Macaca fascicularis: one gene and its partner. The protein of the gene in region 1 purifies or fractionates together with the protein of each later gene. This does not show direct contact. Links are inferred from orthologs where the notes say so. Each region holds a gene or a part of one and is shown in the gene's direction. Other genes may lie near its edges.

Region 1 (3,500 bases):
ACGTCCACCACAGCACAGCCCGACCCAAGGAGCAGGTGGAGGCCGAGGCTGCCCGCAGGGCCCAGAGCAGCTTCGCGTGGGGTCCGGAACCACACAGCCATGGGGCAAAGTCCCGAGGCTACTCAGAGAGTGTGGGCGCTGCCCCCAACGCTAGCGATGGCCTGGCCCACAGGTGAGCAGGTGCCTGTCAGTGAGGAGGGGGCTCGGGGTGAGGCTGTGTCCCTGTTGAAGGCCAGAACCTCCCTGTAAAACTCAGGAAATCCAGGACCACCAGCAACAGGCAGGAGCCCTCTCTGCTGGAGGGAGTGGGCTGGGCCCCGGGTCAGGGGAGTCCACGCCGTGACCTCAGGTGGGAGATGAAGATCAGGGGCCACAGCCCGACCCTGGCTCCCACTGACCCTCAGTCTTCAGGGATGAGCAGTGACCGCCTGTGTGTTTAAAGAGGAAACACCCTGGGCAGCACCAGGACAGCCAGCAGGCAGCTGCTGTGCCGCGGGAGCCTTACAGAGGCCGGGTGGGGGCACAGCCTCAGCCACGGGAGGCCAGGGCGACTCGCCACTCTTGCTGTTGCCTTTGCAGTGGGAAGGCGGGCATGGCGTGCAAAAGAAATGCCAAGAAGGCCGAGTCAGGGAAGAGCGCCAGCGCTGAGATGCCAGGTGCCTCGGAGGATGCAGAGAAGAACCAGAAGATCATGCAGTGGATCATTGAGGGGGAGAAGGAGATCAGCAGGCACCGCAGGACCGGCCACGGGTGAGCACCCCCCACACACAGCCAGCCTCGTGGGGCCTGCTTTGCCGCTTCTGGCCTCCGCACAGTTTCAGTGTGTGCGGCTTCAGTGTGTGCGGCGAGTGTCGCCTCTGATGCCTCACACTTCCCCTCTCACTGGGGCACTCTCCTGGGCATCCTCCAGCAGGCTCCCTGGGCCTGGGAGAGAGGCCTAACGTCTCCAGGAGGAAAATCTCGTGTCCCCAGAGAGAGACTGTCCCTGAAGCCCTGAGCGGGAGGGAAGCCAACGTGGCTGTCACCCCACAGGTAGCACAGATGCTCTCGGGAGGTCATTTCCAGTCTGACCCCCACATGAGAATGACCTAAGTCACCTGGGAAGGCCACCGCTGGCCATCACTCCCAGGGCACCCATGGAGAAGCCTTCTGTGCTCACACCTGGCCATCCTGCTGAGGGCTGGGAAAGGCTCTTGTGTAGCCTGAGCACTACTCTCCTCCCAGCAGGGCAGAGGCCTCGTATAGGTGTGGAGCAAGGCCCTGGCACCACAGGTCCAGCCCCTGCCGCTGCCCGCCGGGCTGGTCTTGGTGTTGCCCCTGCTCGCCTCCTTGGCCTGCACTTGTGCCCAGAACCCAGCAGGAGGGCCAGGGGCCCCACAGAGGTGGTGCCCCCCATTTTCCCGTCGTGGTCAGAGGCAGGTCAGCTGGGAAGTGTCAGCCCTGGTGGGTAGGTGGCCCCAGCTTTCTCGGTCTTAGATCCTCATCTGCCCCCCCACACCCAGACCCTAGCCAGGGTGCACCTCCCTCCACATTACTTGGTGAGAACTTTTGAGGCAGCTGAGCGCCTGGGGCGCGGTGCTTCTGCCTGTGTTGGAAGCCCGTCCCACGAGGCCTTGGGGTCCCCATCGGTGCTGACTGGGATGGGGACGGGCTCGTCGTTTTTCTGGGACTCCTGAGGGAACGGAGGTGCACAGCACCATGCCTGGCTCATTTTTTGTAGAGATAGGGGTCTCAGTGTGTTGCCCAGGTGGGTCTCAAGCGATCCTCCCACCTTGGCCTCCCAAAATGCTGGGATTACAGGCATGAGAGTCACCACTCCTGGCCTTCGAATCTTTTTTTTTTTGAGACGGAGTCTCGCTCTGTCGCCCAGGCTGGAGTGCAGTGGTGCAATCTCAGCTCACTGCAAGCTCTGCCTCCTGGGTTCACGCCATTCTTCTGCTTCAGCCTCCCGAGTAGCTGGGATTACAGGTGCCCACCACACGCCCAGCTAATTTTTTGTATTTTTAGTAGAGACGGGGTTTCACCGTGTTAGCCAGGATGGTCTCGATCTCCTGACCTCATGATCCGCCTGCTTTGGCCTCCCAAAGTGCTGGGATTACAGGCGTGAGACACCGCGCCTGGCGTTTTTTTTTGTTGTTGTTGTTTTTGTTTTTTTGAGACAGAGTCTAGCTCTGCCCCCTGGGCTGGAGTGCAGTGGTGCAGTCTTGGCTAACTGCAGCCTCCCCCTCCCGGGTTCCAGCGATTCTCTTGCCTCAGCCTCCTGAGTAGCTGGGATTACAGGTGTGTGCCACCACGCCCGGCTGATTTTTGTATTTTTAGTAGAGACAGCGGAGGGGGTGACCATGTTAGGCTGATCTCGAACTCCCGACCTCTGGTGATCCACCCGCCTCGGCCTCCCAGAGTGCTGGGATTACAGGCATGAACCACTGCGCCCATCCGAATCCTTTTTTTATATAGCTGTATATACTAAATACTGCATGTCCCATATTTTAGGATAAGTATTAATACGTTCTACTTTGAAACATATTTATAATTTTTATTCATTAAGACTTTTTTTTGTTATTTTTTGAGACAGAGTCTCTCTGTCACCCTGGCTGAAGTGCAATGGTGCAATTACACAGTTCACTGCAGCCTCGGCCCCTAGGATTAGTATATAATTTATATCCCAGTAAAGCTGTTAAATGGATGCAAATGTTAATGGATGCAAAACCCCATCTCTACTAAAAAAAAATACAAAAAGTTAGCCATGTGTGGTGGCGGTTGCCAGTAATCACAGCTACTAGGGAGGCTGAGGCAGTAGAATCGCTTGAACCCGGGAGGCGGAGATTGCAGTGAGCCGAAATCACGCCACCGCACTCCAGCCTGGGCAACAAGAGCAAAACTCCGTCTCAAAAAAAGAAAAAAGTCACCATGAAAGGATTTTTTTTTTTTTTGAGACAGAGTTGCACTGTGTTGCTCAGGCTGTAGTGCAGTGGCACAACCTCGGCTCACTGCAACCTCCGCTTCCTGGGTTCAGGCGATTCTCCTGCTTTAGCCTCTCAAGTAGCTGGGACTACAGCACGTGCACTACCACGCCCGGCTAATTTTTGTATTTTTAGTAGAGATGGGGTTTCACCATGTTGGCTAGGATGTCTCCATCTCTTGACCTTGTGATTCGGCCTCCCAAAGTGCTGGGATTACATGCGTGAGCCACTGCGCTCAGCCTTTTTTGTTTCTTGAGATGGAGTTTTGCTCCTGTTGCTCAGGCTGGAGTACAATAGGCCGGTCTCAACTCACTGCACCCTCCACCTCCCCGGTTCAAACGATTCTCCTGCCTAAGCCTCCCGAGTAGCTGGGATTACAGGCGCCCAACATCATGCCCAGTAAACTTGGTATTTTTGTAGAAACAGGGTTTCACCATGTTGGGCAGGCTGGTCCTGAACTCCTGACCTCAGGTGATCCACCCGCCTCGGCCTCCCAACGTGCTGGGATTACCGTGCCTGGCCAGTTTTTTTGTTTGT
Region 2 (4,133 bases), on another chromosome or scaffold:
GAGGGTCTCTCTGTTGCCCAGGCTGGAGTGCAGTAGCGTGATCTAGTCTCACCGCAACCTCCGCTTCCGAGTAGCTGGGGTTACAAGTGTACGTCATCACACCCAGCTAATTTTTGTATTTTTAGTAGATACGGGGTTTCGCCATGTTGGCCAGGCTGGTCTCGAACAACTGACCTCAAGTCATCTGCCCGCCCCGGCCTCCCAAAGTGGTGGGATTACAGGCGTGAGCCACTGCGCCCAGCCCTCATTTCTATTTTAATTAAATTTTATTTAAGATAGGCTTAGCTTAAATGTTTACGACTGAGGTCTGACTTAAGATGATAGCATAAACCATGGAGCTTTCTTTTGTGAACATTACTATTACTCAACCCAATTTTCCCAGGTCAAATTTTGTAATACAAAACGTGGTCAAGATTTGATTCTCTGATCGATTTTTAGTAAAAAAGAAAAAAATTTCCGTGTAGCTTTAAATGTTGTCAATTAAATTTTGTAATAGTTACCTCTACTCTGTTCAGGTTAATACTGCGGTTTTCAACATGACCAACATACGATTCTTTGTTGTTGTTTTGGTGGGGTTGGGGGGCATAACAGTTTTTTCACTCTTGTTAAATTAATTTTCTGTTGATTCCATCTATCCCTAATCTTCACTATGAACAAGATACTGGGTTTTCTTCTGAAGATCAAAAGTGGTAGTGAGGCAATAATGCAAAGACGTAGGACGGCAGGGGGATTCCGGCTTCTTTCTTTTTTCCCCTCCTGTGGAAAGAGGGTCTATAACACTCCGTAGTAGAGAAGAAAATTCTAATTATGAAGGGTAATTAGCTAGGTTTTGCTATAACCGAGAGCCCTGAACGATTCCTCAACGCGGGCTGCTTTTCTCTTCCTCTCCACCAGAGGCGATAGCCTCTTTCCAAACAGAAACTGGGTTGGAATAGGCCGGTCCTGGGGAGCGGCCAGAAGAAAGATCAAAGGTTAAAAACCGCCTCAAAGAGCAAAGGTCAATACCCAACTCCTAAGGAGGCCTGACACGAAACATGAAGGTGACTCCTCCCAACATCGAGGCCTGGGGCCACTCAGCCTTCCAGAGACCCTGCGGGTCCGAGGCGAGTAACAGGTAACACCGGCTGAGCCGCCGCCGACCGGAAGTGGAAGAAAGCCCGGGGCGGGGTGAGGCAGGCCGCGGCACGCCTGCGCAGTCAGCAGGAGTTGCAGCGCTCATGCGCTACTGGGCGGTGACAGGGTGACGCTCGGAGCGTGGGCCGCGACTCTCACGGATCCGGTTCCGCCCTCTAGCTGCCGATCCTTCGGAGCGAGCGCCCCAGATCCCTTTCCCAGAGTGCTCTGCGCCGTGAAGAAGCGGCTCCCGGGGACTGGGGGCATTTTGTGTTGGCTGGAGCTGGAGTAACAAGATGGCGGCGTCGGCGGAGTGACAGGGGTCCCTCAGGGCCGGAGCCGGCGGCAGTGGTGGTAGCTGTATCGCCGCCCTAGCTCACCGCGCCCCTTTTCCAGCCCGCGACGTCGCCGCGCAAGCGAGGCAGCGGCGGCCGCCGAGAAACAAGTGGCCCAGCCTGGTAACCGCGAGAAGCCCTTCACAAACTGCGGCCTGGCAAAAAGAAACCTGACTGAGCGGCGGTGATCAGGTTCCCCTCGGCTGATTCTGGGCCCCGAACGCCGGTAAAGGCCTCCGTGTTCTGTTTCCTGCCGCCTTCCTCCGTAGCCTTGCCCAGTGTAGGAGCCCCAGAGGCCTCCGTCGTCTTCCCAGAGGTGTCGGGGCTTGGCCCCAGACTCCATCTTCGTCTCTCAGGATGGCGAGTAGCAGCGGCTCTAAGGCCGAATTCATTGTCGGAGGGAAATATAAACTGGTACGGAAGATCGGGTCTGGCTCCTTCGGGGACATCTATCTGGCGATCAACATCACCAACGGCGAGGTAATCACCTGGGGTGGGGTTCACGATAACGCTGCGCTTTTCCTCATTCCCCCCACCACCACCGCGCACCCCCAAAGTGCTCGGGCCTCTCCTCACCGCACGCACTCGCCAGGGAGTCCAGGGAGCTAGTTTTCCTGGCTTGCGATCCTCGCCCGCTCTCTCCCTAAAAGGGTCAAGAACCCGATAGAAAAGGGTGGGGGAACTAGTTTCCCAGCTTGTTAAACACTTCCCATAAATGTCCCTTGGTCGAGCTGTTTTTTTTTTAACCGACTTTTAAGGTGGAAACGGCAAAATCCTCTTTCTGTGATTCCCATGCTTTGCTTTTCTTTTCTTTTATTTAATTTTTAATCCTGCTGGGCCTCTTGTTCCAATTAGAACAGTTTCCGATCGCCTAGTTCCTTAAAAACCTCTCACTACGTTCAGAGGTTGCCTCTTTTTTCTGGATGAATCATTTTCCTGCACTTTAGAGGACGTACGATTTCGTCACTACCCCCTGAAGAGGCCTTTGAGGCTGGTTGCCTCGTTTTATAATTACAGAGAGCTTTCTCTTTCCAGCTTTTCACTTCTTCCTTGTAGTCGCGACTTGGAGTTTTGCTAATGTCTCTCTCCTTTCCTAAATGACACTGAATCCGTAGGGATGTTGATGCCATCATCCCCTCTTTCCCCTGCAGGAAGTGGCAGTGAAGCTAGAATCTCAGAAGGCCAGGCATCCCCAGTTGCTGTACGAGAGCAAGCTCTATAAGATTCTTCAAGGTGGGGTTGGCATCCCCCACATACGGTAAGAACCCCGTGCATGTAGGCGATCCGCTGAGGGAAGCACGGAATGGGGAAGTGGGTAGAGGCAGGTAATGAGACCAGCTGAATCCGGGTCTTGTTTTGGTTACCTGGGTTCCTTGTAGCTGGTGCCTTCCTGTAAGTCATCGCAATCACTGAGTAAATTTCAATTTGCCAACTTATTTCATTGTATTACACTGCTCCATTTCGCTTCCGTCATTCTCTTCCCGAGGCTTTCGTTTGCAGTTATGCGTGCGGGTCATCTTTGATCCCTACGCGGAAGGGTTGGCTGCTGCCTTTTTTACGGCGGCACGTCTGATGTTCTTAGGTTTGTCCAGTGAAGTGGATTTGAAGGTGCTGAAGCGACCCGGCGGTGTCAGTTCGAGTTGCTATTGGAGCTGGCTTGGGAAATGGCTGCTCTTTTGTTGTGTTTTTGTTCCAACATGTCTTCCTCCTCCGCTTAGAAAATGGCGGAACGACGTGACTCAACCCCATATTCCTGCCCTTTTCTCAGCTTGGGTTCACAAATTATGCTTCCTTGATTCCTCCTTTAGCAGCCCCGAGTGGATTAAACCTTTGAAAAGCCAAGAATAAAGCTGCAGGAGGCGGTGTGGGGGTTCGAGGAAGGAGATGGCATAGTGACAATGTTTGTGATCTCTGCAGCAGATGTGACATGAAATTGTTGAATTATACTATGTAAAATCCTTTGTGGTTCTTTTAAAAGTGTTAATTACTCTTTCCTTTCGTGAATGGTCATATTTGGCACATTTCAGTCGGGACTAAATTTGTATAGGTAATGGCAAAGGCAGTTTGAGCAGCACCAACTATGTTAAAATTTACTCAAATCAATTGTATTAAAAGAAATCTTAATCACTTAGCCACACTTTGATAAGTAATTTTAACCTGTTGAGTTTGGCAGTAAATCTTAATATCAGAGAAATTGCGGCCTTTGTTGGTGTGGAATATTGGTGAGTGCAAATTGCAGTAACGCGGATAAAAGATGACGAGATAGAAAGACATTGTTCTGTCAAATGGTTAACTTTACTTTGGAGGGTTTTAGAGTAATGTTTTAACTTTTGGGATTAAAGAGCCTCTTCATGGAATGGAGACTAAAATATAGTTTAAAACCAAGCTATTTTTCAGCAACAATCTAAAATACCTTTTGCAAAAATATTCAGAATAGGTGAGAATGGTGTTTACTGTTTGCTGGAGACTCTCTTTTTTTTTTTTTGAGACTGAGTTTTCGCTCTTGTCGATCAGGCTGGAGTGCAGTGAATGGCACGATCTTGGCTCACTGCAACCTCTGCCTCCTGGGTTCAAGCGATTCTAGTGCCTCAGCCTCCTGAGTAGCTGGGATTACAGGCGCCCGCCACCACACCCAGCTAATTTTTGTATTTTAGTTTCACCATGTTGGCCAGGCTGTACTCGAAC

What was found. The genes of interacting proteins can lie anywhere in the genome.
Region 2: the proteins of AXIN1 (region 1) and CSNK1A1 purify together in Homo sapiens (co-immunoprecipitation; 4 studies listed by BioGRID and IntAct, with this or other methods). This does not show direct contact. The link is inferred for Macaca fascicularis from reciprocal best matches to the Homo sapiens genes AXIN1 and CSNK1A1.

Annotation. Positions count from the first base shown.
Region 1 is NC_088394.1:1,047,697-1,051,196, reverse strand, and holds part of AXIN1 (axin-1), read left to right. Parts: coding exon 1-172; intron 173-579; coding exon 580-750; intron 751-3,500. UniProt on the Homo sapiens protein: Component of the beta-catenin destruction complex required for regulating CTNNB1 levels through phosphorylation and ubiquitination, and modulating Wnt-signaling.
Region 2 is NC_088380.1:156,431,317-156,435,449, reverse strand, and holds the start of CSNK1A1 (casein kinase I), read left to right. Parts: upstream 1-1,333; 5' UTR 1,334-1,805; coding exon 1,806-1,928; intron 1,929-2,599; coding exon 2,600-2,706; intron 2,707-4,133.